Kluyveromyces lactis: one gene and its partners. The protein of the gene in region 1 interacts with the protein of each later gene in a biochemical or structural test. Links are inferred from orthologs where the notes say so. Each region holds a gene or a part of one and is shown in the gene's direction. Other genes may lie near its edges. The genes, in order: ABP1, APP1, SRV2, SCP1 and ACT1.

Evidence for each region.
Region 2: the proteins of ABP1 (region 1) and APP1 interact in a test that uses a peptide from one of them, tested with the Saccharomyces cerevisiae proteins (2 studies listed by BioGRID). The link is inferred for Kluyveromyces lactis from reciprocal best matches to the Saccharomyces cerevisiae genes ABP1 and APP1.
Region 3: the proteins of ABP1 (region 1) and SRV2 form a complex in vitro, tested with the Saccharomyces cerevisiae proteins (4 studies listed by BioGRID, with this or other methods). The link is inferred for Kluyveromyces lactis from reciprocal best matches to the Saccharomyces cerevisiae genes ABP1 and SRV2.
Region 4: the proteins of ABP1 (region 1) and SCP1 interact in a test that uses a peptide from one of them, tested with the Saccharomyces cerevisiae proteins (2 studies listed by BioGRID). The link is inferred for Kluyveromyces lactis from reciprocal best matches to the Saccharomyces cerevisiae genes ABP1 and SCP1.
Region 5: the proteins of ABP1 (region 1) and ACT1 form a complex in vitro, tested with the Saccharomyces cerevisiae proteins (2 studies listed by BioGRID). The link is inferred for Kluyveromyces lactis from reciprocal best matches to the Saccharomyces cerevisiae genes ABP1 and ACT1.

Annotation. Positions count from the first base shown.
Region 1 is NC_006042.1:940,824-947,427, reverse strand, and holds ABP1 (Abp1p), read left to right. Parts: upstream 1-1,196; coding exon 1,197-2,927; downstream 2,928-6,604. Other genes in the region: KLLA0_F10198g (uncharacterized protein), read right to left, coding at 234-476; KLLA0_F10153g (uncharacterized protein), read right to left, coding at 3,080-3,640; YMD8 (Ymd8p), read left to right, coding at 4,036-5,346; KLLA0_F10109g (C2H2-type zinc finger protein), read left to right, coding at 6,362-6,604. UniProt on the Saccharomyces cerevisiae protein: Regulates ARP2/3 complex-mediated actin assembly. Recruits ARP2/3 complex to sides of preexisting actin filaments, which may promote nucleation or stabilization of filament branches. Binds to actin filaments, but not actin monomers.
Region 2 is NC_006039.1:1,164,788-1,171,470, forward strand, and holds APP1 (phosphatidate phosphatase APP1), read left to right. Parts: upstream 1-2,836; coding exon 2,837-4,546; downstream 4,547-6,683. Other genes in the region: putative ATPase ECM3, read right to left, coding at 1-1,305; translation machinery-associated protein TMA46, read right to left, coding at 4,716-5,759; type 2C protein phosphatase PTC5, read left to right, coding at 6,485-6,683. UniProt on the Saccharomyces cerevisiae protein: Mg(2+)-dependent phosphatidate (PA) phosphatase which catalyzes the dephosphorylation of PA to yield diacylglycerol. May play a role in vesicular trafficking through its PAP activity at cortical actin patches.
Region 3 is NC_006037.1:1,002,139-1,008,716, forward strand, and holds SRV2 (adenylate cyclase-binding protein), read left to right. Parts: upstream 1-3,131; coding exon 3,132-4,775; downstream 4,776-6,578. Other genes in the region: THO2 (Tho2p), read right to left, coding at 1-1,342; U2 snRNP complex subunit YSF3, read left to right, coding at 1,638-1,640, 1,717-1,977; KLLA0_A11616g (uncharacterized protein), read right to left, coding at 2,117-2,758; NAM9 (mitochondrial 37S ribosomal protein uS4m), read right to left, coding at 4,982-6,430. UniProt on the Saccharomyces cerevisiae protein: The N-terminal domain binds to adenylyl cyclase, thereby enabling adenylyl cyclase to be activated by upstream regulatory signals, such as Ras. The C-terminal domain is required for normal cellular morphology and growth control.
Region 4 is NC_006040.1:539,835-545,548, forward strand, and holds SCP1 (Scp1p), read left to right. Parts: upstream 1-3,049; coding exon 3,050-3,652; downstream 3,653-5,714. Other genes in the region: KLLA0_D06281g (TerD family protein), read left to right, coding at 197-2,455; KLLA0_D06380g (uncharacterized protein), read right to left, coding at 4,603-5,714. UniProt on the Saccharomyces cerevisiae protein: Has actin-binding and actin-bundling activity. Stabilizes actin filaments against disassembly.
Region 5 is NC_006040.1:458,777-465,788, forward strand, and holds ACT1 (actin), read left to right. Parts: upstream 1-2,949; coding exon 2,950-2,959; intron 2,960-3,739; coding exon 3,740-4,857; downstream 4,858-7,012. Other genes in the region: Rab family GTPase YPT1, read left to right, coding at 720-1,334; SND2 (Snd2p), read right to left, coding at 1,650-2,195; KLLA0_D05379g (uncharacterized protein), read right to left, coding at 5,424-6,914. UniProt on the Saccharomyces cerevisiae protein: Actins are highly conserved proteins that are involved in various types of cell motility and are ubiquitously expressed in all eukaryotic cells.

The DNA of each region.
Region 1 (6,604 bases):
GTGATAACTGCTAAGTGACAAGTTTCGGACATTTTTATTTACATCTTGCGTCATAAAGGCCAAAGGAACGGGGAAAAGCCAATTTAACAGCTTCAAAATCGGATACAAGTTCTTTTTGCAGTGGAGAAAAAGTAGTAGATGGTTTCGAATAACCAAGTTCGTCTGTAACCCCACCATCGTCATCAGCCGCGGGGGAAAAGGAACCATCACCGGTAGAAATAAATTTGTTGCCATTACATATACGCCCATAAATCGATGAAGGCTTGTATTAAATCGTATTTTGACCATATATGATATTTACTCGATCTGAATCTTGTCCTTGGGTTCGATAATTTCTTGTATAATCTCGAAGAAGGCCTATTTTTCAAATAGTGCGTCAGTGAATACAAACCTGCCGGTATCGATATTATCGATTTCGGAGCTTGTCTACCAGTACCTTTCTCAGAGTTGCGATGGCATAGTTTCCTAACATGCATATATGAGAATCATGAACGTGGAAAGTCGTTCCGGGATCAGTTATTGTGGTAAGGCCCCCATCATTATAACCAATGTTTAACTCAACAGTGATTTCAGCATAAGGTCCGTTTCGTAGTGGAAAATAAGCTGAAATCTGGCCGGAGAATAATTAATAGAACATCGAGCAATTTGAAATTCTCACCGACAGTTAATTTCCTGTTCCAACAGAAACATCATCACAGCTTTATTCCAAAAAATAGTTATTGATTCCTTGATAAGAAAACTCTTCATAAAGCTAATAACAGTTTTGCAATATCGTTCTCTACTCTGACCGCTGTTCATGGTACTAAATATTACCCGGTTTCATGTCAACCGCTGTTTCTCTAAATGAAATCTGCACGAATTTCTCGAAACTAAAACCACAGTTCATATTCCGGGTAACCTATGAAATAAAATCTTGACAATTGTCTCCTATTCGCCATGAATGCAATATTTGAACTAGGTTAAATTATTAAACATGAATCAATCCACTGCTGTTTGGTGGAATGATTGTACCATCCTACCTTTATATATATTTAAACAAATATAGAAATATCTTAAGACAAGAATTCTGCAAAGTCAATTGAATTAGTGTGTGTTTTTGCCAATTTACCAGACAAATTTGAGGTGCATTACGTTCCTTTCTTGTTGTTATTGATCTTAAGTTATTATAGGGTTATCAGTCTGGCATAGCAATTACGATGGCATTTGAACCAATTGACACTACTACACACTCGCGTGCCATTGAGGCCGAGTACCTGAAGGTTGTGAAGGGTGATCCAGATACTACTTGGTTGATCATCTCGCCAAATTCTAAGAAACAATACGAACCTGAACTAGTCGGTACTTCTTTCAGCGAGTTTTTGCAAAGTTTCGATGATACCAAGGTTCAATACGGTTTAGCTCGTGTTTCTCCACCAGGTTCTGATGTTCAGAAGTTGATTTTAATTGGTTGGTGTCCAGATTCCGCTCCATTGAAAACCAGAGCTTCATTTGCTCAGAATTTCGGTGTGATCTCTAATCAAGTGTTTAAGACCTACCATGTTCAGGTTACCGCCAGAGATGAGGATGACTTAGATGAATCTGAATTGTTAATGAAAATCAGCAACTCCGCTGGTGCCCGTTATTCAATTCAACAACAAACACCGGCCTCCAAGAAGCCAATTTCCTCTGCTGCCAAGACAGCCAAGAAACCAGTCAGTGTTTCATCCAGACAATCTGAGCAAAAGGAACCTACACCATCGTTCCCATCAAGAAGATCCGTTTCTCCCCCAAAGACTGAGAAGAGCAGAGGTAAGAAGGACGATGAATGGGGTGAACCAGAGTTGGAAGAACGTGATTTCGACAAGAAACCACTAGAACCAAATTCTTCTTCCTGGAAACCAATTGGTAAAGTTGATCTACAAAAAGTGATTGCTGAAGAAAACAGTAAAGAAGATCCCCGTCTAGTTGTTTCGGGGCCTAATTACGACAAAAAGATTGATCCTCAATCTGAGATTGCTAAATTAAAGCAAGAATCCAAGCTAAAGAGGGATGCAGAATACAACAAAGTCTTGGGACCAAAGAGTTCTTCCTCAGCTCAATCATCAGGAAACGATAGCGACGATAAGGTGATCAAGGGTTTCAAGAATGAAAAGTCACCAGCTCAACTTTGGGCTGAAAAGAAGGGACAAAAGAAACCATCTAATTTAGAGAACAAGACCCAAAGAGAAGAGTTCTCAGATTCTAACGAAGAAGAAGAAGCTGAAGAAGAGATTGAAGAGGTCAGATCAAAATTTGAATCAATTAAAACTAAGGAAATTCCTATCATAAAACCAAGTGACTCTAGCAGATCTAGACCTCAAGCTTCTAAGATCAACTCATCTGACAGCTGGACCAAGAAACAGAACAAGTTTGGCCAACCACTACCAGGTCTGCATGATCAAAAGAAGGAACAAAACGATGACTGGAGTAGTGATGAGGAGGAACAAGAAGAAGAGGAAGAAACTCCAGCTCCTTCGTTGCCTGTGAGAAGAAATGTTCCTCCCCCACCCGAAAGCGATGAGGAGGAAGAGGAGGAGCAAGAGGAAGAGGAAGAGGAAGAGGAAGAGGAAGAGGAAGAAGCTCCTTCTCTACCAACTAGGAGAAATGTTCCACCCCCACCGGAAAGTGACGAGGACGAAGAAGATGATGATGAAAGAGCATTTTCTAAGTCTCAAAATACTCCTCCATCTCCAGCACCAAGAGCATCCAAACCTGGAAAGAAAGAATCCGGACCATCAGCTATTGCTGAATATGATTACGAAGCCGGCGAAGATAATGAATTGACTTTTGAAGAAAATGAAAGAATCATTAATATTCAATTTGTCGATGATGATTGGTGGTTGGGTGAACTTGAATCATCAGGTGAAAAGGGTCTATTCCCAAGTAATTACGTCAACTTAGAGGAATGATCCAATAAATTACCACTACTCTAACTTTATCATTGTTAATAAATGATGATGTTATAAGTTGGTGGGACTTTGAAATGAATATATCATGTATACTTTACAAGTAAATAATGTTAAAGAAATAAAGTACAAAAGTAAACTAAACAAAAGTCTACTTATTTGCCTTTTACAATTTCAAAGTTCATATCTACTACGCTCACTTCTTCTCCAGCATCGTCATCATAATCATACCATTCGTTTTCGTCGTCTTCAAACTGAAACTCCATTTCCTTCTTCGAAACTAGTTCAGCTACAAAAATAGTGTCAGCAGGTTCAAATTTAGTTACTTCACATCCTCTGCAGTCAAGCTCGAGCCAAACAGCTTTTTCCACAGGAACAGAACGTAAGCCAACCTTCTTTCTGTCCTTTTTACCCTGTTCAATCAATTCGAAATTAGATTCTTCATCTAAATTATATAAGTCTTCCTTAGTCCTGGTCAAGTTTATTGAACACTCATTGCCACAAAATTTACATTTCATCACGAACGAGGCATTTCCTTTACTTCCAGGCATGTCATGAGATTCAAACCTATTGATTCTAATAGGGGAATCGTGCTCCTCTCTACAGCTGGTACATACTAATTTGAAGGTATATTCAGCTGGTGATTGTTCTGTATCTTTTGGGAAAATCCTTCTGATATTCTCTGACAAGGTGGCACAAGATGTCAAAAACAACATTATTTTGGGAGCCAAATTGGTACGACGATTACTTTGATATATAACGTTCCGGCTTCCGGTTCATAAAAACCCTGTAAGTTATCTCAATAGGGTCCTAGTCTCATTTGTTAGTGGTTCATTAATTTTTTTTTTTTTTTTTTTCACCAGCCTCATCCATAGGAAAGCATCTAAGAAGAAAATAGGTTTCGTTCAACATGAAAAAGATGCGTAACTAGGTTTGTGCCTACCACATGTAGAGAATGAAATAACATAGAACCTCGAAGTCAATTGATTTGTTTAATGGAAGTTCTGGGAGATCTGTGTGAATCATTGCTACTGTAGGGAGACGAGATATTAATACAAAATTAGAAGAAGCCTGGCGTAGTACTTTTGTCAATATAAAATAGCTAAAAACAATGAAGATGGATAGAGACACAGTGAGGATCTTCACTTTGATCATGGGGATGTATATTGCAGCCATTCTTCTTACCATGTACAACAAATGGATGTTCGATCCTAATAGAAGTTTGCATATTCCATACCCATTGTTGGTGACAGGCTTGCACCAAACACAGTTATGGGGTATGGCATATCTGTATCTCCGGTGGAAAGGTCAACTAACCCCCGAAAACTTGAACAAAGGTGATTGGAAGTACTATGCAAAGTACATTATCCCAACTGCTATAGCAACTGCTGGTGACATTGGTTTAGGCAACATTTCCTTCAAATACGTTCCATTCACTGTTTATACAATTGTCAAATCATCTACTATTGCATTCGTTCTTTTCTTTGGCTGTCTATTCAAGGTGGAAGTACCATCTTGGAGACTATTCATTATAGTGACATTGATGTTTTGTGGTGTTGTGATGATGGGTTTAAAACCAATAAACTCAGATAGCTCTCAGACTCATGGTGAAATTCAGGAAACCTTTGGTGTGATACTTGTGGTGATAAGTTGTGCCCTAGGAGGGTTCAGATGGGTCTACGTTCAAGTTATTCTCAACCACAAGAAGAACACCATTGTCTTGTCACCCAACGATGGTGATGAGTTGATGGCTGCTGACAAACCTGCTACTAAGAAAAACCCGGTCATCACTCTATATCAATTAGCTTTACCAATGACTATACTTCTATTTTCCACTTCATTCATAGTGGAACGTCCGATTCCTGATGTACTGCATTCTGAATTGATGACTTGGGAAGGTCATTCGAAACTCGCGGCTCTATTACGTGGATTAGCGCTTCTCACACTCCCTAGCTGCCTTGTTTTCATATTAACAATGTGTGAGTTTGGTATATTACAATTGGCTCCTGTATTAACTTTAAGTGTCACCGGGATCATCAAAGAACTATTCACCGTTTTCTTAGGCATGCTGGTATTCAATGAAAGGCTAGGATTTTACAACTGGTTAGGCATGATTGTTGTACTAATCGACGTATGCTATTACAACTACTACAGATACATGCAAAGAAAAAGACTACAAGAAGTACAACAGGACTACCAACTAGTAGAAACCGATGAACCCCCATGTACATCTACGCATGATGGTGATATTTGGTCAAATTTACAAGACAACATCAGTGGAGACTCGGCGACTGTATGGGAATTAGGGTCCTTGAATTCCAGAAAATCAATCGAATCTAACCTACCAGAGCTAACATCAGGTACCATTACCGAACCCACTAAAAACAAAAGTGACGACACCGTAATGGGTAATTCCAAATAAGTGAATCTGCATCATTCACCATATTTGCATTCTATCCTTTATCGATTTCATCTCACACTCTTTTTTTTCTCTCCTGCATGAAGTATAAACTAAACACTCCATTGCATATGCATTTGAATAATAACCATATCAAATCCCGAATTCACAAAGTCAGAATTCAGCTTCCTATAAGCTTCAGACAGCTTTACTCGAAATGTAAACTATATTAAACATGTACACTACTCAATTTACACGTTTTAGATGTATTCTAATGCCAGCTTCGGACTTTAGAATCAAATGCTTAAACTGCCATATATGAATGAGATCACGTGCGTTGCATCCGAAAGACTGTAAACTAGGATTCCCTGAGCAGACAGTTATTTCATTACTCTTATAGAGTGCAAATGATTAATATATTACCCGATCAACATGAGCACATCACTTAACACGAAGAACACAACTAACTACGTATTCAAGATAAGTATCTCCGTATTTTCTCCGGCCCGTTTAGCAGCATGTCTGGATTAATACTGACAGAAATTTCAGTTTTTCGAAAGAGAAATCTCATGAAAATGAAAAAAAAAAGCTGCGACCATGGCAATCAGAGGGAAAAAATAGAATGATGGATAAGGAAAATTGATAATGAAAGTTGAAGATTGAAAATCAATAATTGGAGATTTTGGCCTTTTGAGTGCAAGTTAGTTGCGATTAGTGGTGCTTTCTAATTATTCTTTTTATAACATCAACTAGGAATATTGCATATATCCATAAATTACTTACTTTGACTGTTATCTGAGAAGTGTAACCAACCCGAAGGATTTTCTTTTGTTTTTTTTTTTTGTTTGGTCTTAATACCATTGATCATTTATCACAAACGAAGGTGACAATAGTTGACTCAGATTGTTAAAACAATAAAGCTCAAGGAAACTGAAGTCTAAGAGTTCAACACTTTTGATTTTGAAATTTCCAACTTGAGCTTATACCATCTTATTGTTATTGAAAGCGTTTATTTGACTTTGCATTTGATTAATCAGCCATGCCTTCCGTGCAATTGCTAGATACGGATAAGTCAATTCTCAAACGACTCTCTTGGCGTTTGACTAATTGGTTCAATGCCATCGCCAGTCACGTCGTAGGTGTTTCTTTGGACTGTAAGACATTACAGGATGATTCAAGTATGGACGTGAGAAACAAGGGCAATAAGTCGGATTTTGAAACGGAAGATGAAGATGAAGGTGAAGATGGGAAACTTAATGAAAATGGAAAGAACTCGCAAGAA
Region 2 (6,683 bases), on another chromosome or scaffold:
AGCGGATTTCCAGAATCCTGGATATAGCTTTTTGATCTTAAGTCTGCCTAATGTTGCTCCCAAAAGCATCAATCCAAAAGGCACTGATGCATTTCCTAAGTATCCTGTATAATCCATAATGAAATTCAGAGCCGGCTGACCGTCTGGTGCTGGATGAATGTACGGTCCATTGGAGGTAGTAACGAACAGAGCCTTAAGCCAAGGAATGAATGCAATAAGTAATGCTAGGAAAACAGCCATCGAACACGGTCTTAAAAAGTTCTTGAGGAAGAAAAGCAGTACACTCATACCAGGAATATTTCTGACTCTCGAGGGTAAAATGTTAGCTGATTCTTTGATATCTTGGCCAGTTACGGTAGCATCTGATGTGACAATTCTCTTCAAAGTTGTGAACTCTTTTCTAAGAGGGACCTGACCTGAATCCTCGGTTTCGGGTTTTATGGTGGATGTAACAGAATTTCTGCGAGCTCCGTATTGGTCTACATTAGAGTATTCTTTTATTAAATCGTGAACATTTTCCGGAGGCATAGATCTTAGGTCAATCGACCTTAGCGATGAACTGAGAGACTGGGCACTGGCCGCCGTTGCATTAGTAAGGCGCCTTGAAATTACATTATCCTCAGCAAGCTGTATTGGAGAAGTAACAGCTTCCTGAGAATTGATGGAATTTACAGCACGATCGTTTTCTTTTGAACAGAATGATTGTGAATCAGTTTGAAGATGAAACTGAGATGCATTAGATTGCGCAGGTGGTTCGAGTGGTGTCTGAATAGAGGCATTCTCCTCATCCGCGTACTCGAAATCCATTTCTATAAGTCTAAAGCCTCCTAAGTTGAAGATGCAAATCATAAACATGGCCAAGAAAATAATCACAGAAGCAATACCCTTATCTGCTTCTTCTTCTGTGAAAAGAAGACCTTGATCCATAGTTTGTAATATAGCGATTGGTAAATCACTGATATTTGGGAATGTCCCACCGGCTAATATACCACCACGCCATTTTTTCGGTACGGGAAGCACTTTCCTAACTACAAATGCAAAGAAAAGCCCTGTACCAAATATCATGACTGCCGTCAAACAAATGATACCGACATCCTTGGCATCCCTATAATCAATACTTGAAACGATTTTGTTAAATGATAGCGACGGTAGTAAGACCGTTAGAACGATATCTGAGCATGTCCGGGTTGCTGCGACGGTAAGGATATTCCCCTTAGCCAAACCAAACCCAGTCGCTATAATCATATAAATCTTAATAATAGGCTTCACTGAAGCCCAGATCGCTTCTCCTACAGTCAACCCCATATCGTGCTGCAAGTTTTATGCAATCTATAATTCATGTAACTTTTAATATCTTTAATAACTTCGAGATTATTATTCGAGTGAATATCTCCCGTGGTGTTATATGCTAATCCAAGTGTTTCCTCTCTCGTTTGTAAGACAACCTGGTCTTTTTATAAATAGTGTATTCTAGGATTCAAATACTGTCGATCAGTAGAGGAATTTCAGTAACGTTGTGCCACGGAAAAACCAACCTATTTAGATCTTTATCGAAGCAAATTGGAGTACCTGTTTAGGAAGTTCGCTCTAATTCTTGGCTTATGTGCAAAGCAAATATGTTACTCTTATATGCCAAAAAGATAATCAAAAAGAAAACAGAAGAAGTAGGCGCTGTACAATGTGAAGCCCTAAAAAGCGTTCTCACCAACACCTTGTTCCTTTCGCTTTCCAAACCAATTTATAGAAATACAACTATCTTTATATTATCGTGATCTCTGATAACTCATCGCTTAAAAAGCATTTTGCAGGCATTTTTCAATATGACTACGAGGAGAGGAGATAACTAAAAAAAAGTAGTTTTGCATCAACCTAGTTTCATGAATTACATAAACTAAAAGCCGGTGTTGCTGAATGATTGCGCAGCTGATGGTATCATTAATCTCTATGAGCTACCGGTTTCCTAATGCATCCCATGTAGCGTGATGAGAAAAGGGAAGGGCTGGAAGAGCTGAGCCATTTTGTGACCCATACTTTAATGTGGGATCGGGAATCTGCGACCGTTGTGTTTGCCCACGCTGAAATCTCTAAGAAGGTAGCGTGGGGATCGGAAGATAATCAACGCTTATATAAGCTGGAAGAATATTTTCATTCGAGTGGTAGAAAATACGGGTCACGTGTTTCACGTGACCCGAATTTTACATGCAGGTTATATTCTTGTTTAATTATACTTATGAAGTGCAGCACATACGGTTCAAGGAAGTCATATTCCAGTTGTTGCAGTATTTCAGCAAAACTTGATTTTTCATTTTCTTTCTTGTTGCTTGTTTTTTTGTTGGGACTATTGGGATGTGGAATCTTTATTATTATTTTTTTAAGGTTTTATAAAGGTTTAGTATCCAGGCTTTATACAAAAAGAACATGCAGATGAAGACATGATATAGAGACGCATTTTGGTTTTTGCCTTGAAATTACTGTATTTAACAAGGTCTAACACGCTTCAATAAGTGCCTTTGAATGAAATAATCATATTTTCTGCATTCGGTTAAGGGATAAATTATTATCTTTCCTTTGATCTCTGTTTTCTTCTCCTGGTTTTTTAATTGTGATTATTGACTCGGATCGTTTATCAGTGGACAGTTACAGGCGAACTGTTTAAAAGGGTCTTACAAGTCACAACTCAATACACAAACGTTGGAAACCCACCGTATTTAAAATATTTGCCGTTTTGTTGCCGTTGAATAGTGTTTTCAAAGATCAGAGAAGATCTGTCTCGATTTATAAGAAACTGCGTAGAAAGAGAACTCTTAAAGCGTTGAAATCGAAATTAAAGATATCTATGGACCCGTCTTTAGCTGCTGATGGATCCTCATGGGGTGCTAACGTGCCGTATGGTAGGAGACAGCGAATCTATAATATGGTGAAGCACACCAAGGATTCGTACTTCAATGCTGCCAAAAACTCTTTGAAGAACTATTACGGGAATGACATGTCACCTGCAGAGGCAAGGGCTTTAGAGTTTCAAATGTTCCCACCTAAGCTGCTTTGTTACCCATCATACTCAAGAAAACTATCGGATAGTATCTATGTCACAGAATTAAGAGGGTTGATATATTCTACCGGTCAACGAAGCAAAAGAAACAGTATTCTTTTGTCTATTTGCAAACAGTTTTTAAGAAACGATCCTCCACCTAACGTTGAACAAAGATTAGAATCTTTGCAAAACGATTCTAATATCTCGTTGGACAGTTCATCTACGACGTCATCATCCACAAGCTCAGGTCAACTGTCAATGGGAGATGGGGTTGCTCCCTTGACACAGGAACAAGTTTTAAGGCAAAGAATAGCGGGGTTCATGAATAAACATCTCCCGAACGTCAACCTTCTAACTACGCTGTATAACGGATCAAATGATAAGATGGATCAAATAACGGTCTCTGATAACTCTGGTGGGTTTAATATTTTACTCAGTACCGAATTTAAACCAGCTGGTGCAAAAGTTAAATGCTTGGAAACCGGGCTAGTCCAAGATTGCCAGATTTTTTATGTCGAAAACAGTGGAGTTGGACTTATTAGTGACATAGATGATACAATAAAACACACAGGTATTGTTGGAGATAAAAGATCGATCTTTTTGAACGTTTTTGTCAACGGATTTGAACAATGGAAAATTCAAGATATGCCATTATGGTATACGACATTAAAAGATAGCAAAGCAGTTGATTTCTTTTATGTATCAAATGCCCCTGCTCAGATATACCCAATATTATCGGAATATATTGGTGAAAACTATCCGTTAGGACCCATGTTCCTCAAACAGTATTCTGGTAACTTACTCTCAAGTATTATGAAATCCAGTGCACAGAGAAAGCTTGCATCAATATTGAAAATATGCAATGATTTCCCGAACAAAAAGTTCATTCTGGTAGGTGATTCCGGTGAGCAAGACCTCGAAGCTTACGTATCGGCTGCGAGTCAATTTCCAAAACAGATTATTGGAATATACATCAGATGTTGCAAGAATTCAATGAGTGATGAATCTGAAAATGACGTAAGAGTTATGAAAGCTTTAAATGATCATATTAAAAAGTTTTATTTAGACCAGATAAAGGAAGAAGATGATATCCCCGATTTAATCCAATTTGACTCAGATTCAGATTCAGATGTTGCCCCAGCTAAAACGGATAAAAAACAGCCTGTCAAAAAAAAGCCTCCACAGGTTCTAAAAAAGAAGCCAGTTTTGAGTGATGCTCTTCAGCGTGAAATTTCTGAATCTAAATCGTCTGGCACACAACCACCTTTACCTCCTAGAAAACCAACAAGACTAAAGATGCGCAGTATGGACAACGCTGTATATTCAATTCCATCCTCGCAGAATGATTATGGAACATATTCTGAGTTCTTTGATAAAAAGGCTGAAAGTTGGAATGAAAGAGTTAAAGTTGCTGTAAAAAAGTTAAAAGAAAACGACGTTAAAGCTAGCTTCATGTTTTTCAATGATCCCATTTTGTGCTTGGAAGATAGCATAAATAAAATTGATTCATTATGATAGGAAACTGGAAAATGATAAGTTAGAACATATATATTTCTCTTTGCAAATTGAGTATTAACTATATTTAATGACAAAATATTTATGTATGAATGACAAAGAGAATTTTTGAAATGAAGACAACCAACCATTGAAATATACAGCGTGTATGCAAGTGCTGTCCTTTTTCTCAGGCAGTAAGTGTAGTGCTTTGTTTAGATGGGCCATCTCTGCTAGGCAGTTCAAAAGTAGGATTACTACCATCACCATAATCTTTGATTCCACTAGATCCATTACTATCTTCATCTCTTAATGCTTTTGTGAACTCGGTCAAATCCCACGCTGAACCGTTCGTGGAATCAGTTTCATCGACGAGATCAAATCTCTTGTCTTCTGTATATTTCTTCAGCACGACTTCACGTCCACTAGGTTTTTTCTTCAAGTTATTCTCTTTTTCTAGATTGAGCCTTTCAATTCTGTGGTTCTTCTTCCATTCAGCAAAGTTGTCCATTGTAATTGGTGTCAAATTTCTCTTATCCAAGCGTTCCCTTTCGGTTTCGATGAATTCTTCCAAAGTGATCTTTGGCTTCTTCTCAAAGGCCTCCATTTCTAACCTCTTCTGTTCTTTAGTCTTTAATACGAATCCTTCCGGTAAGGAGTGCTTGTACATACATTTATCACCGCCGTTAGGACAAATCCAAAACCACCCGTACTTACCGTTTTCGACAGCTTCGATGAAATATTTACAAACCTTTTCAGTGGTTGTTCTAGGATTACCATGCTTGGACAAAATCACACTTCTCAACTTAGCTTCATCCCAATTGTCCATAGTATCTTCTTCCTTTTCACTTCTTGTGTCCTGATACAAATCTCTCTTCTCCACTCTACGTCCGACATTCATATCATGCGAGAACTTACAGCGTGCACCTTTGTTACAATTACCAATCTTGAATAACGCACAGAGCACAGTTTTAGGATCCACACCAGCTTTCACCTTCTGGTCCAGTACCGGATTGAATAAAGCTCTTCTTTCTGCCTCTGCAGCCTCTCTCATCTTCTTTTCTTCCAACTTCTTCCGTTTCATTTCTTCCTTTGCAGGATCCTGCTGTGATTGAACTTGCTTGATGAATTTTTGCACCTTGGTGGATTTATTCTTGTTCTTCATACCGAACGTTTTGTCAACATTGTCCTTCTTCTTAGCAGGCTGTTGCTGCTGCTTCTTCTTTGGTGGCATCTTTCACTAAGTTGTATTCAGTTTTTAGAGATCTTTGACAAGGTTCTAAGTGGGTGTACTTTGTCCCTGTTTTCAGATTAAGCCGAAACAAATATAGGACCTTCAATTCGTAATATATCCGGCGTTGGGAAGAGGACGATTCCTAAGCATCTTCATGCTCATCTCTTATTTGATCTTATTGCATTTCAATGCCAAAAATTTTCCAAATCACTTCAGACGGATGTGACACCTTTAATCATAATCACGTGATCTATAAAAGGCAAGAGCTTCCCTTCAGATTGCAGCATATGACACAGTCGAAATAATGCCACCACCTTATAATTAGTGATTTTATTCTATCATTTGTTGCATTAATGGAAGTTTTTAATTCATTTCTGTGTGAGGTGCCATGTTTTAAAAATTTCAATATATTAACAATGGTTGCATCGGCGCATTCATAGTGAACAATAGTAGTTACCTTTCCGGCAGTCTTCAGCATTGTCAAAAAATTGTAGAAAATACTAAGGCTCGCCATTGATAACGTCGAATACTCTTCTTCTTTTATCCAACGACAGTTTTATGGAAATTAACAGAAATCTCATATTTGTATGGATTTCACAGTTTAAGAAATATATAATTTGGTTTGTGAATCAAACAAGGAGAAACACGAAATTGAAAGACGAGCCACTACAGGTGTGCGGAGCATTGAGTTTCAAATATTCCAACTGTGAACATAACTTAGATTCATGCCACCACCGTCATTATTGCAGTCCCGGGCTGCTAGAACTCTCTCAAGGTGCCTTTCTAAGAAAGATCTTTCGAAAATGCTTTTTTTAAGCCAGCGTCGACAGCTCTCAACCTCTAACCAAAAGAGAAAATCAGGCCTTCTCAGATCCAATGAATGGAAATATGCTGTCATAGGAGGTGCATTAGTACTGGGGTACT
Region 3 (6,578 bases), on another chromosome or scaffold:
GTCGACAATGTTCTGAAATAGCTGAAGGGCTCAACTTTACAGTCAAGGGTTCGATCATGTTGTCAAACACCTCGAGAAGAGATTTCACGAGACTATCGTTCACGGCAAAGAACCGAGGATATTTGAATAGAGCATACAATCCTGGAACAAAGTGCCCATTGACAAGTAACCTCTCTACTAGTTTCCATTTTGGTGATTTTTCAACAGTTTCTCGAAGTAGTGCTTCTTTTTCCTTCTCCGATATCCCAGTATCTGCCGCTGTATTGGTTTTATCACCTTCCGTATTTTTCGAAATGGTATTGTCTTCGTCAGTAAGGACGGAGGCCATAGCTAACGGATTAAGAGATCCCTCCAAGGATTCCTTTTCCAATGTCGTCAGCTTCCTCTCTACAAACTCATCAATGTCAGTATCGTACGGGGTCAGGCAATCGAATATAGCAGCAAAAGAGACAAACCCGCCTTTAATTAGATGAACCACTAAATCGATGTAATTTGCATCTGGTTTACCATTATTAAGGTAATTTACTATCAACCTGGTAGCTATCGGATTACCACCTTGGTTCAATTGTTCATACCGTGAGCAGTTGGCCAAATTCGAAGATGGCCAGTAGTCTGTAGATTGCAAAAGCTCAAGAATAAACTCAAAATGGTGTACGACATGATATGAAGACACTTGTAATAGTATATCCATGCACCTGATTGGGTCTAGCTTATATTTCCCCATAATATATTTCAACTGTTTACTGTAATATTGAACAGATTGGAATTTGTCAACATCTTCAAAAGCGATATTCAACAACGTTATCAGTTGACTGAAACCAGTAGAGCATTCTAGGAATAAATTTGGTTTTTGCAAAAGGAAGAACTCGGGAACGATGCTCTTTTTGAATGCGGACCAAAAATCTTTGGACCATCTTTCTGTACCCTTTGAAAGAATTTGGTCGTTCAAATAAATACACACCTCTAACTGAAGATCCTTGGCACACCCAACTAAATCATTAAACCCATTGTTCGCCTCCCAAGGGTATGAATTCGCTAACGAAACAAATAGCTCGAAGTTATATCTATCCTCGTTGCATAACGCACTAACTATTTTGCTGATAGCATCCAAATTTAAAAACTCCGATTCATCAGATTTCCCATTGATTAAGGAAAAAGCTTCCAGAAACAAATCATACACATAATCAGATTTCTGAGAACTGGCATCTAAGGAAAGGTACTGTGATATGATTGTTTCTACACCACGACTTGGTTCATCGAAAAACGTCTTGTCAAAATAAGTAACTTGTTCATCATTTGGAAGATTGGAAGCCAAATTATTCAAACAGTCGTACAATGCCATGATGAAAACAATTTACCGTGTGCCTAATTCAATTGGCAAATGCAAATACCCCTATTGCTCTTCCGTCACCAGGACGCTACAATCATGAGGTTGATGTTGCGCAATGTATGTGTTATATCTTTCACAGATTTTTAACATATTCAAATTCGATATTTGAAAAATGTCGGCATGGTGAGAATGGTAACTTGAATAGAGTTGATATCTCAAACAGGGATGAAAAGAGTCACAGCAGTCAGTATACTAGGTATTTGACTAAGTTAATGGTATCAGTGAGAACAATAGGAAGTTATAAACAATGGTATGTACTTTTTTTTTCCAATTTATGTGTAATATCCTATGCTGACCAATGATACTAACTACTGACTTAACTGCAGAGTAACAAAGTGAAAGAGGAACTGATATATGAAGATATGCGGAAGAAACATCCAGGGGTAGGGAGTGCTAGAACAACAAAGGAAGAGTGGTCTAATACGATAAGCAAGGACACATATGCCAGCTTGGCTATTCATCAGAACCTTTTAGAGTATTACACATTGGCGTCAGGATTCCCTTCCAAACGGGATGCCCAACTAACACTGTTACGAAAACTTGCAAACCCGCCAAAACCAATCAAAAGGGATATTGGAAACGATTAATGATTATTATAGATATTACACAAGTGTATTTGCAATATTTTTGTTGTTGGTACATGCGGTATTTAACGTGTATTTTATGTTAGGTGTATCGAAGTTAAAAAGCTATCGAAAACGCTTTCAGAGATTGTAATATATTTAATTAAAGTTCTGGCTGCGAAGAAATCTCTGTTAAGATTCTTCTGCCATCAATTTCGGCCTGGTTGAACCTCTTGTGTAACGTTTCTAAATCCATGTTGGAAGCAAACACCTCAGCGTGGGCTGAACCAGTAGGAAGATCGATAACTTTCAAGTCTGTAACTTTGCAGTTGCCCATCTGTTGTAACACTCTTTGTAAATTAGAAGGGTTCGTTCCTATCGGCAAATTTCGTATCTTTAAACATTTCAAACTCTCTTTCAATGAAATAACCAACTTCTTATTATTACTGTTATCACTATTGTTTCGTTGCTTAGATCTAGCTCTATTCTTCAAATTATGAAGCAAATTGACACGTTTGTTCGATTGAATTTGTTGCTTATTCTTATCTGAGCTGGCTTTCATTTTATTGCCCTGCAAATCAGCAGCTAACACAAGTTTACCACCAAGAAATGTCAATCCAGTCTTTGCTTTGGCCTTTTCTGCCTTTGCTTTCTCTGCCCTTTCCAAAGTCTGCTTCTTCTGTAATACGGGATTTTGGCCACTAGAATTTCCAACACGCCCAAACAACGAGTTAGAACCTTTCCCTACACCTTTTCCTCCCCCATTCCTGGACTTCGAATTACCATTCCGATGCTGCGATGCCATATTTACAATAAAGGACACACAACAGAATTCTCCTTTGCTATCTTAACCAGAAAAAGTAAGACCGTACTAATTTCCTGAATCGTAAGAAAAATGAAACAGAGTACCACAGTCGTATAGTAACCTGATGTTTCCTTTCGTAACATAAGTTAACATCTTAACCTACCATTCCAGAGTTTTTCGTCAACTTTGTTCTCAATGGTCACTTTTACATGTTCATCAGAGACACTTTTAAGGAATCAAGAAAAAACAAAAAAATAATAGAAGAGAAACATTTTAATAGGGGCATTTGCTCTGATTTTGGTGTATGAAAGGCTTCCAATACGGACGGTGAACTGTAATCAGGACGTTTGAGTGGATTGAAGCAAGTTGGAAAATGACTGAAACAAATTTCTCAGTGCAGGGGTACAATTTGGTAAAACTTTTGAAGAGATTGGAGGATGCTACTGCCAGATTGGAGGATGTTACGATTTATCAAGAAGGCTATGTTCAATCCAAGTTTGGCTTAGAGAAAGACGGTAAGGTTGATGGGTTCGCTGATTCTGTTACTGCTTCTTCTGCTGAAAGAATTGCTAGTGCAGGTTCAGGCGCATCAGCAGCTTCTAAAGAAGCCGCAACACCGGTAGCAACAGCACCAAACAGTACTGGTGAATCGAAGGAGGAAGAACCGAAATCAATTCAAGAATTTAAGCATTTCATTGAACAGAACGTTGATCCTTTGGTTAAATTATCCGCTGAAATTGATCCTACTGTTGAAAAAGCTGTGGTGTTTTTAGCCAACGCTTTCAAAGCTCAGTTGGTGTTTTTAAAGGCAGCAGTACAATCAAAGAAGCCAGACTTTTCGTCATCTGCATTCGTGAAAGGTTTGACCCCAATTAACGAGAACATCTTCTCTATTGGTGAGTTGAAAGAGGAGAACCGTAACAGTAAGTATTTCGCTCATTTGAATGCTATCTCTGAGGGATCACCACTGTTCTCATGGATTGCTGGATCTACACCTGTGTCTACTATCACTGATTTCAAGGACGCTGCCCAGTTTTGGACAAATAGAATCTTGAAAGAATTCAGAAGCACTGATCCTAAATCCGTTGAATGGGTCCAACAATTTTTGTCCGTTTTCGATAGCTTGAAGCTGTACGTTAAGGAATACCATACCACAGGTGTGACTTGGAACGACACTACTGGTGAGGATTTCGAAACCGTATACGAAAGAGTTTCCAACGAGGGATCCGGAGCTTCTTCTTCTGGTGCTACTTCCAGTGAGCCGCATAGTTCAGGCGCCGGAGCTCCTCCACCTCCACCTCCACCTCCTCCGGCTTCCGTATTCGAAGTCAATGAACAATCAAAAGAACAAGAATCTGGTGGAATCGGTGCTGTGTTTGCTGAGTTAAACCAAGGTGAAAACATCACTAAATCCTTAAAGAAAGTAGAAAAGTCTCAGCAAACACATAAGAACCCAGAACTTCGTGCCTCAGGGAAGGTTTCTGACAAAGCTGTTCCTCCACCTAAACCAAAGAAACCATCTACTCTGAAGACTAAGAAGCCTCCAAGAAAGGAATTGATCGGTAATAAATGGTTTATTGAAAATTATGAAGATGAAGCCGAACCGTTAGTGATCGAAACTAAAATTGACGAATCTGTTTTCATCGGTAAATGTGTCAACACATTGGTACAAATCAAAGGTAAGGTCAACGCAGTTACTGTCAATGAAACAGAAAAATGCAGTTTAGTGCTAGATTCTTCCATCAGTGGTGTGGATATTATTAAATGTTTGAGATTTGGTATTCAAGTGGAAAACACCCTGCCACAAATCACCATCGACGCGTCTGATAGCGGCTCCATTTATTTGAGTAAAAACTCTTTACAGGCTCAAATTTTCACCTCTTCTAGCACTGGTATTAACATCAACACTCCAACTGGTCCCGATGGTGACTTCGTTGAAGTTCCACTTCCAGAACAGATGATACACACTTTCGTCGAAGGTAAACTACAAACCAAGATTTACGAACATGCTGGTTGAATATCTGAATAGTATATCTTCTCGTTACTGGGTGTTAGTTTATTCTTTACTCATTAGAACATATAAATATATATATATAATTAATATAATATGATACGATAAAATAATGATAATAATATGTACAAGGTTTCCAAGATACACCATTCTTTTTAAATTGTCATAGTCACAGTGTATCCATTCTTTCGTGTGTATTTGTTTTCGTCAACTTATTTACCCCTTCTCACATAGTACATGTATGAACGTTCATGTACAGGTAAGCCGAATGGAGTAATAACTTCAGATTGACCTGGACGTGCAACAGGGTCTCTTAAGTAGACCGCATGACATGTCTTGAATGATATTTCCAAATGGTGTGGTAGAATGGCGAATGGTGCTAAGAAGGGTCTTGGTTTCCACGGAGTGAAATATGGTTTAGATGGATCGTTACGACCAAACACACCCTTTTGCCATGGTAAATTGATAGCTTTTTGAGCAGCTGGTTCGTTTTCCAATAGTTCAGGAACATTGATCTTTTGATGCAATGGTAACTTTTCAGCCCACTTAGCATCGTATGGAATATCAACAGAATCAACGGATGCCATCTTGTCATTATAATGTTCTCTGACCACGGTTTCATAGAAATGTCTCAAATCAACTATAGTATGATTGATGGCTCTGAATTTTTTCTTTAAGGCATCGTTTGTGTTATCAACAGGTTTAGTTATTCCTGTAGCCACCTTTAGCAATTCACCTTGTTCATTAGGAATTTCAGCCAAAGGCTTCCCTGCTATCGTTTCCACAGCCTTGGCAGACTTGACTTCTCTATAAATTTCGAATCCTTTAGCTGCCAAATTTTCGTTATTGTAAAATTCGCCCAAGAAATCTTTTACTGCCAATTTTTCTACATCGTTAACGCGGTTAACGGTAGAAAAGATCTTAGCTAACAAATACTCGTTACTGGTTTGGTCTAATTCTTTCCTCATTTGAATGTGCATGGTTTTGTTGTAGTTTTCGAGGAAGGATAAAAATTCCTGTTTCTTTGGATCGTTACTATCCATAGTTCTTAGTTTTTCGATCTTTTCATCCCAGAACTTTCTAGGATTCTTTCTAGCCTCTAGAATATATTTGTTCCATAGGAAAATTTGGGTATTATCCACTTTCAAAGCTTCCTTCAAGCTAGGTTTCTTGGCACCAAGAGCTTGTAGCACTTTTTCGGGTCTGACGTTGAAAACATCACCAGCTTTCAAGGCATATCCCGGAGAAGTAATCTTTACACCATTCACATGGACGTTGCCATGTAAAATAAACTGACGAGCTTGTCTCACTGACGAGGCAAACATAGCTCTAAACAAAGCAAAGTCTAGCCTTTTCTCTAGTACAGCGTATGTTTGTAATAGAATGGGCGTCGGTTCGATATCACCACCCCTTAGAGAAGCATCTAATTGAGCCACAGAGTTTAGCTGAGGCTCGAAAACAGACTGCCACCTACTCTCTGTTAAATGTTCGCCATGGTAGGCACGAGTTTCCTGTTTAGAAGTCCATTTCTGTTGGTATAGTGTTTTCGATCTAAAACTGACCTGAGATTTCTTATACAAGTTGAACAAATTGTACTTGTTAAAAGAGGTACGAACCTTCCCTCTGGACAAAGAGTTCAGAAGTACAGCTTTCCTAGGCATTGCTGGTCTTTTTCTTCACAATGTATTGACAAAACTAACCAGAATTGACTGCTTACGGACTCTTCGAAATGGAAATACATTGCATATCCGAACTACCTGCATAATATTTTTCAATCAAACGCTATCTAATGCTTGAAGCTTTCCGATA
Region 4 (5,714 bases), on another chromosome or scaffold:
GCCTAAATCTTCAAGGATTCAATGGAACAAGTTTACTTTTAGGTTCTGAAATACAGTTAATCAAAAATATAGGAATAGTTGATCTTTCTGACAGCTGATTTTACACTCAGACCAATTACAAAGATTCGGTGAATGCAAATCTCGAGACAAATACTAGGATGGTAAGATAGCAAGAGTTTAATGAAAGTCTAAGTCAATGAGTATAGCCATATCGAGAAAGCTGCTATCTAACAGAAAGGCCTTGTATGGTGAGAAAGAATTGTGCAGCTCTGATCCAATCGAAAGCATTGATGACATACTATTCACCTTTGTTGCTGAGTTAAATAAGTTGGGTTATCAATTTTCAGAAAATGCGCAGGACTATTTGAGAACACTGTCTGTCAATGAACTAACAGAATTCAGGTCCATGGCGAAGACTGTTCTGGAGGAAGCTTTAGGTGCAGACGTAAAATATGTACCGTTGTTTCGCAAATTCCCTGAGTCTATTCCTGACAGAAGTCTGTTGGTAGAGGCAGTCTACGAAAGTTTAGGAGATCTGACTCATTTGCTGTTCTTCAACTTTTATGGATATTGGTCATCGTCCGAGTATAATGGATCATGGTTTGGTAGACAGTATCCCGATTTAGAGTTACAGGAGGCCATTAAGCGTCCTGAATTAATCACTGGCAAAGAATTGACGACATTGGATATAGTCGGCCGAGGAGTGGTCTTAGAACTTTTCGAAAACCTCGCTAATTCGAAGACTTCAACTTCTGCCTCTGACAAAGAATTCATCAACTCAGTGATAGCCACTGGGAACGATTGGAAATCTTCTTTACCAGAAGTTATTCCTAGCAAAGAAAACCTTGTGCACATCATTGGTTGCGCTGCTACAAAATCTGGTCCATTTGATGAGGAATTACAGAAATTGTTTTCCACTCATATCAAGACTGCTACAGATGTTTTACGTCTTGCAGCTTCGTTCTCTGGATCAGATGTGGCTTTGACTAAGCACACGCGCTTCAAAATATCAAATTCTCAAAGAAAGTTCTTACTGTTCGCGTTAAACAAATTGGATCGTGAAACGGCAATGGAGGATATACTGAGATTTTTGGGCCTCTGGCTTGTATTAGCTAAATATTTACATGTCAATGCTTACGCTAGCAGATATCCAAACGCAGCCAAAATGATCCAAACAATTAGAGGAAACCAAAAATCGATAAAAACCTTCAATAGAACAATTGAAACAGCCTTAAGAGCAAGAAAGGACCTTAAAAATGAAGGCAACATGGAAAGCAGTTTAGAATCAATTATACATATTTTGAAAGCAAGGCCTGGTGACTTTGCTCGTCGGTTAGATCACCTTCTGCGTTCATATCCATCTACAGAGCATGCTCAAATTGTAATTAGCTTTTTGGATGTTGCATCGTCTGTATCGACACCGCTACTTCTGAATCTTTCCACTCATTTTCAATATCGTCATGAAATATCACCCATACGTGTTTTCTTGCCAAAAGGCTCTGCAACCAACGCCATTATAGAAGATGAAGACGAGCGCCAGACTTATTCCTCAGAACTCTGTTCAAATTTGTATAAGGGCATCGACTCTGTACTGATAGAACGATTCAGTAAATTAGAGCCTTTAGGCAATATCTTTATTGATCCAATATTAGAGGATTACATACCACCAATAGGATTGCGGGACGCATCAGAGGCTTTGCATACTTTTGGCAGAGGGTCCAAGATGCGATTTGATAAGAACTCCAAGGTAATTCGGTTGTTCTTATACTGGGAGAATATAAAGGAAACACAAGGCGCAGCACACGAAGGAAGGGTAGATGTTGACTTATCATGTTTGCAGTTATCAGATAACTTCGAAAACAAAGGAGAAATTGCGTATTACAATTTGGCTAATGGCGCCGTCACACACTCTGGAGATTTCACTGATGCGACGAATGGTGCCGCTGAATTTATAGACGTTAAGTTAGATGATATCAAGGAAGCATTCCCAGAAACACGCTATATTGCTGTGACAGTTAATTCCTATACTGGTCAAAAATTTAACACTTTCACAGCTAAAGCTGGTTTCATGATTAGGGACAATATTAGTGGAGAACATTTCGAGCCAAAAACTGTCGAGCAGAAGTTTGATCTTCTATCAGCTTCGAGATTTAATATTCCAATGGTGCTGGATCTATACGAAAACACAATTATTTGGCTTGACCTCGCCATTTCTCAGAACAAGATTTACAACGTCAACCTCCATGAAAAGACACCACTTGTTGGATCACTAGCCAAGTATGCTCTGAACATTTATAGAGAAAAATGCAACCTTTTAAAATTAATGCAACTTCATGGCGAAGCCAGAGCCCAGACTGTATCTGCACAGCACGATCCAGAAAAAGATTATGACCATTGTTTCGATGAGAATTTTGCATCAAAGACCGATGAGATAGTGGGGAATTTTCTAATTTAGATCGTTAAACGTCAATGAATTTTATATTACAACGACGAACAATTGCTTTCCGGCAGCACGATTCAGACATCCTTCTCCTTAAGAACTGATTAACAACTAGTCTAAATGATATCTGCCGGAACAATTTCGAAAGCACTTGTAATGCATCCTTCTAAAAATTTGGTTACTTGAGCGTTACAGTTATCTCTCGATATTGACAGCACGTTATTGGCATCCTTCTATATAATTATACATTCACTTCTATTTACCGCTAATAAAATATCTGTCATTAAAACTTCCTCTTTGGTACAATGGGTCTCCATCAGAGAATCGTGATTCGTAGGCATTAACAATACTGCTTACAGAAATTTAAACTGTTCTTTTTTATATTGACTCTTTGGCTCCATATATTTCAAGTACACTTTTGAGGGTCTATAATATGTGGTAGCGCCATCTTTTTTGAGTTTGGTTTTTTAATGTGTAGGCATAAATTAAGAGACTTAACGAGTGTGCATATCGCCACACCACAGAAAGTATGATGAGAGGGATAGCTATTGATTACGTTCAGTTTTTTTTTAGTTGAGCTACGGGAACTAAAGCTAATCTTACTAAAACATGAGCTACGGTATCAAGCCTGATGTGACATCATTGGATGATGATCTTAAAGAATCAAGAAGTAAGAAGTTCAACAAACATGATATAACAGAAATAAAGAGATGGATTTATGCTATTATTGAAGAACAATCACCTGACGACAGTCTTTTGGATGCATTAAAAGATGGTACTGTGCTATGTAAGCTTGCTAATAGACTCTTAAAAGAAGAAACAGGAGTGTCCGATTCAATGAAATGGAAAAGTTCAAGAATTGCGTTTGTTCAAATGGAACAAATAAGTATGTTCTTACAGTTCGCAACTAAGTACGGAGTTCCACAAGATGAACTTTTCCAGACTGTTGATCTCTATGAGGAAAAAGACCCAGCAATTGTCTACCAAACCATTAAGTCATTATCCAGATATGCAAATTCCAAACACCCTGACCTGTTCCCAGTAATAGGTCCACAATTATCAACAAAAAGGCCGAGACCACCTGTGAAAGGAAAACCATCGCACTTAAAGAATGTTGGATGGAGTACTGTAGAATATGGTTACATGAAGGGCGCAAACCAATCCACCGAGGGTATTGTTTTCGGAAATAAACGTGATATAACAATGAATTGAACACCTTGAGATTCCTAACCGGAAAGCCATTCGATTCACTAAGTATTGAGACCGATCAAGCAATATTCTGATGCTTGGGCAACCATGTATCTCAAATTTACCTTCTACTGAGGGTCTTTTGACTTTTATACATTAGTTGGCAATCTGTACATAAAGCGAAAAGATTAGTGCTGATTGATGTAACAAAAAGCACAACATATTCATAAGGGCAAGCAACACTTAAAAAGGTACCGATTGTGTACCTTGAAGACATCAAGATCTTGCTTCTGAAGTCGTAGAGTTTCTACGATTCAAACTAGTGCAGATGATTAACGATCCATTAAACGAAACAAAAAAAATAATGGTTGCGAAGAGATTCGAACTCTTGCATCTTACGATACCTGAGTGTTCCCAACTGTAAGGTTGGTTAAGATTGGTATCTTGAATCAGGCGCCTTAGACCGCTCGGCCACACAACCATTTGAATGACTTTTGAAATGTAATTGCCAATCAAATCCAACAAGGATTTACATATAGGAAAAATTGGGCGTCTCTTTACTCAAGATTTTTAGAAATTAGCGACTGTATTAAGCAAAATTCATGCAGAATCGTGGGAGACATTGGGGGAATACTTCCTGAAAACTGTCAAATCTAAAGTCCAGTCGTACTGGCCTCTACCACTATAAAATATTAGCATCTCGGGGCTCTTTTCATACATGTTTACTAGATGAGCAAAAAGGCCGTGACATGTTACTGAAGTAACTCAATTCATACATGCTTAAATAATAAGAAAAGAATGAGGTGTTCTTTCACACAATACTTGACAAATAAACTAGAAATGATCACTATGTTCGAATATGTATTTGTTGAATTAGGAAGCGAGGTGATACGAGAAATAAAGTTATTAACCGCTTACTGAATATTTGAATATTAAATCTGTCTGACTATGAGCGGAGGGGGGCCAAAATCAATTTATTGAGCCCACTGTAAGACGGTAATAGCAATAGAAACAATGATTATCGAGATCGGAAGAGTTAACACAACGTAACCCCAGAATAAAACGTTGGCCATTTCAGCCTCAAAGAATTCGTTTAATTGGGTAATTTGAGTTAATTGAATTGCAGGTGGTGAGACTGTCAAAATGAACCCAACCACTAAGAAAATTGGATCATCCAATATACTAACTTTGATAAATTTAACACAACCAGCAATTATCGGTAGAATGAAACATGATGGCAAAACCATACGTCCCATTATAGATGCGAAAACTAATTTTTTGTGATTTTTGGTGAGAGCAGCAGTTTCTCCCGATGGGTACAAGTTTGAACCGAGTACAATAAGGATCAATGGAATGGAAACTGATCCCAACTCAGCTATAGCTTCAGATAGTGTATTGTTGATGAAACCGTCAGCTTGGAAAAATTCATGTTGTAAAGGTGGGATTGACGCAACAATTACCGAGAACAACATGGAATATAAAGGAGGGTTCATAAAACTTCTAACTTTAGCAATGTAAAAGCACGTCTGCTGTTTCAATTTCGTAAAAGTACCGGCATAATATGGGCTCTCACGTAGATTCACTTCCTGTTGTGAAGCTGCAGAAGTGGATTCACTCTGCAAACTTAGACTTGAAACATTATTTGGGTCATTACCCAATGTAGCCTGCGATTCCAATTGAGAGGAAATACGATGGTTGTGATGAACTGAATCCTCTGACCATCTCATCAATTTGTTATAACCCCATGACCATCTCAACACTTGGCCGATTTGTTGGAAAATCAAAAGATAGAGTATACCTCTTGACGCAACGTTATCCCTTGAATCATCAGGGATTTGGTCCCAAGTTAAATCCGGTAAAGTGTAGGCTAAAGAAAGGGTCAAAGAAACTGGTAAAGAGTTTGAGTTTCCGAATATCGAATTAGCCACTACGAAGTTGGTTTCATCGACATCAAATCCGAACAAATACGATAACAATTTACCAGAAAGGAAGGAAATACCTGTGGTTAAGGCATAGAACAGCGGGATTATAGAAATTTCCAAAATTTTTGCCAAGGAAAGAGACTTGGCTAATTTACTGAAAATCA
Region 5 (7,012 bases), on another chromosome or scaffold:
ATTCATAGAGTCTTCCTGCAAGTTAGTCAGTAGAGCATCTAGATATACACATGCATACATATATATGTATCTTAACTTAGAAAAAACTCATCCAAGCAAAGATTCTTGCATTCGCATCTTACATCCTGTGAGATTTTGTAGAGTTTCACATCTCCCCTAAAGATTACTACGAATCATTCCTATCAGTTACCTGAACTTTGTAATGTCTTCATCCATTTCATTACTTGTCCGAAATAGTTCAGTGTAGTGTAACAGGTTCATTACTGATCTATATCAACAACACTGTGTATTTCTGTGTCACGTGATGGTAATCTTTTGTGGAATCTTTTCCGTTCAGGAGAACAAAATTCAAACAGTGAAACCTGGACCGAAATACATTCTATTAAGCAACAATAGCATAGTTTCAGTTATTCCAAATGCGGTTTGATAAGACGCTTGCTTTTTTTCTGGTTACTGTTGCATATTTACTGAAAGCTTAACTAAAGGATAGACTTTTATTTTGGGGTTGTTATCATATTTTATCTTATACTTCCTTTACTCATTTTCTTTAACGGAGAGATATTAACAACGAGGGATACAGAAAGGTGTGTTTAAAATAGAGAAATATTGTAAACTTACAACGCAGTCCATCCAATCACAACTTACAAAAGGAGCCCATATTTTTTAACAAACAGTCGAATCGTATCAGTCGCTATAAACTACAAGCAAACAAAGAAAAAATGAATACCGAATACGATTATTTGTTCAAATTATTGTTGATTGGTGATTCCGGTGTTGGTAAATCTTGTTTATTGTTAAGATTTGCCGATGATACCTATACCAACGACTATATATCCACCATCGGTGTTGATTTCAAGATCAAGACTGTTGAGTTAGATGGCAAAACTGTTAAGCTACAAATTTGGGATACTGCCGGTCAGGAAAGATTCAGAACTATTACATCTTCTTACTACCGTGGTGCCCACGGTATAATTATCGTTTACGATGTAACAGACCAAGAATCCTTCAACAACGTCAAGACATGGTTGCAAGAAATCGACCGTTTCGGTACAGCTGGTGTGTTGAAGTTACTAGTTGGTAACAAGAACGATTTGACAGATAAGAAGGTGGTTGACACCGAAGTTGCTAAAGAGTTCGCAGATTCTATTGGAATTCCATTCATCGAAACCAGTGCACTAGATTCTTCTAACGTTGAGGAGGCCTTCTTGATCATGACCAAGCAAATCAAGGAAAGTGTCGCCAAACAACAAAAAGATAATGGTAGAGCTGAAGACAAGTCCAACGTCAACTTAAAGGGCCAATCATTGACTGGATCCAATGGTGGTTGTTGCTAAATTGGATAGCATCATCGCTATGTTACTATACACTAAGTGTCTGAAAAATCAGGAACTGAATTTAAGAACTGTCTGATAATTACCATATTTCGAAGAATTAATATCCCGTATACATCACAAACAACATTAAGCACCATTTGCCCCACATAGCTTTAACGAAAGAGCCGGTGGTTGTCTATTTAGAGCCTATTATAGTTAGACTTAATTTCAATTACAATCATTATTCCTTTCTTTCTTACTTTCTCTATATATAAGAGAATGTATTCGTAGATATATGATGGATATAGTATATACAACCCCTTCTCTAACATTAATCTATCGGTATCTTACCTGAGATTTATCACCACGTTTTTCCCTCTTCAATTGTCTCTTTGATTTGGAAGGTTCAGCGGGCGTTGTCTCTGCGAGATCCGCCTTTGAAGCTGAGGCACCGGGGAAATACTGTTGCTTCAAGTAGTACAACTTGTAGAAAATAAACGCAGGGCACACTAATACCAAGAACCACCATTTCATCGTGTTGAAGAAAACTGTTCCCAGGTTACAGAACAAGGAAACATACACGATATCTTTCATGTATTCAGTGAGTCCACCAGATTCCAAATCGAACCCTTCATTAACTAGTTTATATTTTCCATGCGCAGCGTTACTGACTTCATATTTTGGTCTACCGGTACGTTCGAGAATATATAAACATAACAACATCGGCACATTGAAAAGAATAGGTTTTAGGGTTGAAATCAGCCCATTACTGAACCATTTCCTCAATAACGTTAAAGATAGTATAGCGACGACTAGTACGTGCAACTGCTTTAAGATGGCTGCGTTCTTTGCAGCAATCTTCTTGGACGATTTTCCAGCCATTCTACAATGGGTGGGTGAGATTCTTCAGAGATAGAGATAGATGTACATAAATGTACTGTCGAATATTAACCTGATCTATTAATACCTTCCCGTTGCTTCAATGATAGTTGATGATGATCCACGTAACATATATTCACGTATAGATTTCAACTGCCGAGTCATTATAATCCGGGTAACGTACATATATGTCACGTGATTTTGAATATACACATTAATATACGGAGGATTAAGACGATATGCGGTCATAATGAATTGTAAAATAAACCAGATGTACTAACATCCAGAGATCGATAACTGCCTCATGAATACAATATACTACGATATAACTATTCTACCGACAGCCTACCAACGTTATATCAAACTTCCAGCCTTCACAAAGCCTTCAATTGCAAGTCCGCCCCTCCAGCTGTACAGTGAATCCCACGTAACCACTAGAAAACCATTACCGCAACTGCTCCGCCTCGTGGACAATGACAATCGTCTCCTATTTTTCATCAGAATTCTTTTTTTTTTTTTAATTTGTTTTTTCGAAATTTTCTCTTCTGTTTCTCTGGACAGCTAGTGCGATTTATTGTATGAGAGAGTTTGAAATTTGATTTAATTTACAAGAAAAATAAGAAATATCTTGATTTGTTTCCTCCTTCTTTACTGTCTTTTACGATCCAAAGAGAAGAAAGGTTGTTTCAGAATAACGGTTTTTTTGTTGATTGCAAAAGGAATTGTACAACATCTTCACGCGCTATAGTATAACAATATGGATTCTGGTATGTGTGGAAACGTATATTTGATTACGGTGGGTTAATTGGGTGGTTAAAAAGTTTGGATATGTTTTATTACTTTGTTAGGTTTCCGGTTAAATGTTGGGAGGGAAAAGATAGGATAATGGCAGCGCTTTGCGCTGCCATTGTCCATTCTCTAACTCCCTAAATCAGATTTAGAATTAGATGTACAACGCTAATTGAATGGGTTTTTTTTATATATAGGGGTTTGGATTAGAAGCTTTGTTCGAGAATTGGATCTTTCATTTCCTGGTTCTACCTTCTTACTATAACGTGTTTTTCTTGGGTTTTGGGTGACTAACTTTGGATTTTGGGTTTTTTTTACCTGATTTAGGAGGCGAATTGGAAAGAAATTTGGAAAATATAGGCAAAAAAAGATAATTTGATGTCACGTGATGATGTGATTTTATATTACAATGTTATTCCTTCCAGTCCAAGAAGGAATCAAAGTACACCTTTAAGTGGTGCAGGCATTGCCCCTCGTGGTTCGGTTGTCCCTATTTTTTTTTTGATTTATTTTTCTGGTTGCTAAGGTTAGCCCCTATTTTGTCCGCGACAGGACTTTTAGCGTTGAACAATCACATAACCTCATGATCACCCAAAATGCACCTGTTACTTTTGTTTTCTTATCTTATGTTACTAACAATTATTTTTCTATTTGGGATGGCTGAATTCACTTTTTTGGAACACCTAACCTACCCAAACGTACGGTTTAGTTCCTTAATCTGCATTCTGCTACTCGTGATGGTTTTTTATTCTAAACAGAGGTCGCTGCTTTAGTTATTGACAACGGTTCTGGTATGTGTAAAGCCGGTTTCGCCGGTGACGACGCTCCAAGAGCCGTCTTCCCATCCATCGTCGGTAGACCAAGACACCAAGGTATCATGGTCGGTATGGGTCAAAAAGACTCTTACGTTGGTGACGAAGCTCAATCCAAGAGAGGTATCTTGACTCTACGTTACCCAATTGAACACGGTATCGTTACCAACTGGGATGATATGGAAAAGATCTGGCATCACACCTTCTACAACGAATTGAGAGTTGCTCCAGAAGAACACCCAGTTTTGTTAACCGAAGCTCCAATGAACCCAAAGAACAACAGAGAAAAGATGACTCAAATCTTGTTCGAAACTTTCAACGTTCCAGCCTTCTACGTCTCTATCCAAGCTGTTTTGTCCTTGTACTCTTCTGGTAGAACCACTGGTATTGTGTTGGATTCTGGTGACGGTGTTACCCACGTTGTTCCAATCTACGCCGGTTTCTCCTTGCCTCACGCTATCTTGAGAATCGACTTGGCTGGTAGAGATATCACCGACTACTTGATGAAGATCTTGGCTGAACGTGGTTACTCTTTCTCTACTACCGCTGAAAGAGAAATCGTCCGTGACATCAAGGAAAAGCTATGTTACGTCGCTTTGGACTTCGAACAAGAAATGCAAACTGCTTCTCAATCATCCGCTGTTGAAAAGTCTTACGAATTACCAGATGGCCAAGTTATCACTATCGGTAACGAAAGATTCAGAGCTCCAGAAGCTTTGTTCCATCCATCTGTTCTAAGTTTGGAAGCTGCTGGTATCGACCAAACTACTTACAACTCCATCATGAAGTGTGATGTTGATGTCAGAAAGGAATTGTACGGTAACATCGTCATGTCCGGTGGTACCACCATGTTCCCAGGTATTGCTGAAAGAATGCAAAAGGAAATTACCGCCTTGGCTCCTTCTTCTATGAAGGTCAAGATCATCGCTCCTCCAGAAAGAAAGTACTCTGTCTGGATCGGTGGTTCTATTTTGGCCTCTTTGACCACTTTCCAACAAATGTGGATCTCAAAGCAAGAATACGACGAATCTGGTCCATCCATCGTTCACTTGAAGTGTTTCTAATCTCCTTCACTTTTTTTTACTTGACACTCTTATAAAAAGAATACAATTAAAATAAACGATGAATCGATTCATATAGATGAACCCAAAAATTGAAGCTTATGAAACAAAAAACTAACAATTATTAAAACTTCATATAGGGACGATTTTACTCCAAATCTTCTTTGTTTTTATAATTTTGTTTTGTGTGTTGTTTTTATTTATCTTCGATCGCACAGTCATTATTCAAGTTCCAATCTTCTATCTTATGTTGTTGGAATATTCTACTTCATATAAATGAAGTGGGTAGTTTAGTATGAAAGTTAATAAGTTAATAAGCCGAGATTATATACGAACGAAATTCAAATTCAACATTAAAATTAAACAACTCCAATTGAAAGTTATATACGGCAATTATTGAATATTCGTGCGAGGCTAATTGCTTAAGTTGATCATCTGATAATTTGAAAAGGATTTAAAATCATCATATGTTCCAGAACAAAGATTTTTAGTGTTGAAAGTTATTCTTAGTTTATGAAATAGTAAATTATTTAATATGTACAATAGATAAACAAGACTAAACTAATAATTCAACGTTCCGTCACTTCAGTGGTAGTAGTGGTACACACAAATGAGTCAGGTTCTGGCGCACCAGACCTCTCGGGAATACTTTCAAAATCTGCACTTTGATCCGACTCTATCTTTTCATATTCAACTTCTGCTGACAGCGCGTCTTGTTTGAATAGATTGTCAATATCGTGTGGTGACAAATCTCTCGTCTCAGGAAACCACATAATTATAATGAAAGCTAAGGCTATTGTTGATGTTCCCAACATTACGAAGGTCCACCATTCTACGATTTGCATTAAATAAGGTGCCATTAATGCAAGGGCAAACCCTGTAAACCAACTTGTCGATATACAAACTGATAAGGCCACGGATTTTATGGATTCTGGTAAGATTTCGTTAGTATAGATAAAGCCAGCGCATGACAATGATGAAGAGAATACCGAAACAAAGAGGAAACATAAGGCGACAACTATATTTCTCAAAACAACATCGCCGACGTGCCTTTCCCTTTCACCAATTAGGAATCCTATCAATAGCATGATACCACCTAAAAATACACTTGCCCACCCGATGAATACTTTGCGATTAAACTTGTCTAATAAAAAGACAGGGACTAAGGTAAATATCGTATTGACAATATAAGGTCCTGCGGTTAATTTCGAGCTGACATCATCATCAAAGCCAACCATTTCACATATGTAAATAGTGTAATACATCACAACATTAATACCACTGATTTGAATTAATATCTGGACTATTATACCGAGACTCATGTGTTTCCAGTAACCTTTCTTGATAATATAGGAAAGCTTTGGCTTTTGCTTCGTTTCACTAACGAACTTCTCTCTGAGTTTCTCAACATCCTTCACTCTCAAAATCGCTAGCGACCGATCTATATCTTTGTTGGAATATCCATGCTTATACAACCATCTTGGCGACTCCGGTAGTGCTTGAAATAGCATCAATAACAATAAACTGGGTATCACTTCTAACCCCCAAGTAATCTTAAATGCCAAGGGACCTTGGATTTTATCAAGTAACATAGAGAGAAAGTATATGGATAGAATGGAGATTGTTAAAGCCATCTGCATTAAAGCTGTGGCCTGCCCCCTTATATTGCTTGAAAAAACTTCCATCAAATAGAATGAAGCAAGCACAGATAGAATACCTACTGCAATCCCTTTTACAAATCTACTCAGAGCCATTGTGTAAACTTCAAGCACAAAAAAAGATCCGACAGATCCCATGGTCCAAATAACACTACAAGCACACAAACACCATTTGCACCCAATGAGTTCTATCAAAGACCCAGACATTAGGCACCCCACAAACCCACCAATTTGGTTGGCCCCTGTCATCATACCTGTTTGTAGTGCAGTTGGCTGTTTGAAATACTCTTTGAAATAGCTCGTCCCAAGAAACAATGATAAAGACGAAGTATCCATACCTAACATAAAACCGATACAAACTAACAGCCCGATCAACCTTTTCACTTCAAATGCATTTTTCATATCTCAATTGCGTATTGTGAAACTAAGTCACCTTTATAAAACAGTGTATTCTTTGCTACTGGCTCCAATATTTACTCAGTTCTTAAGCTAAGTTGAAA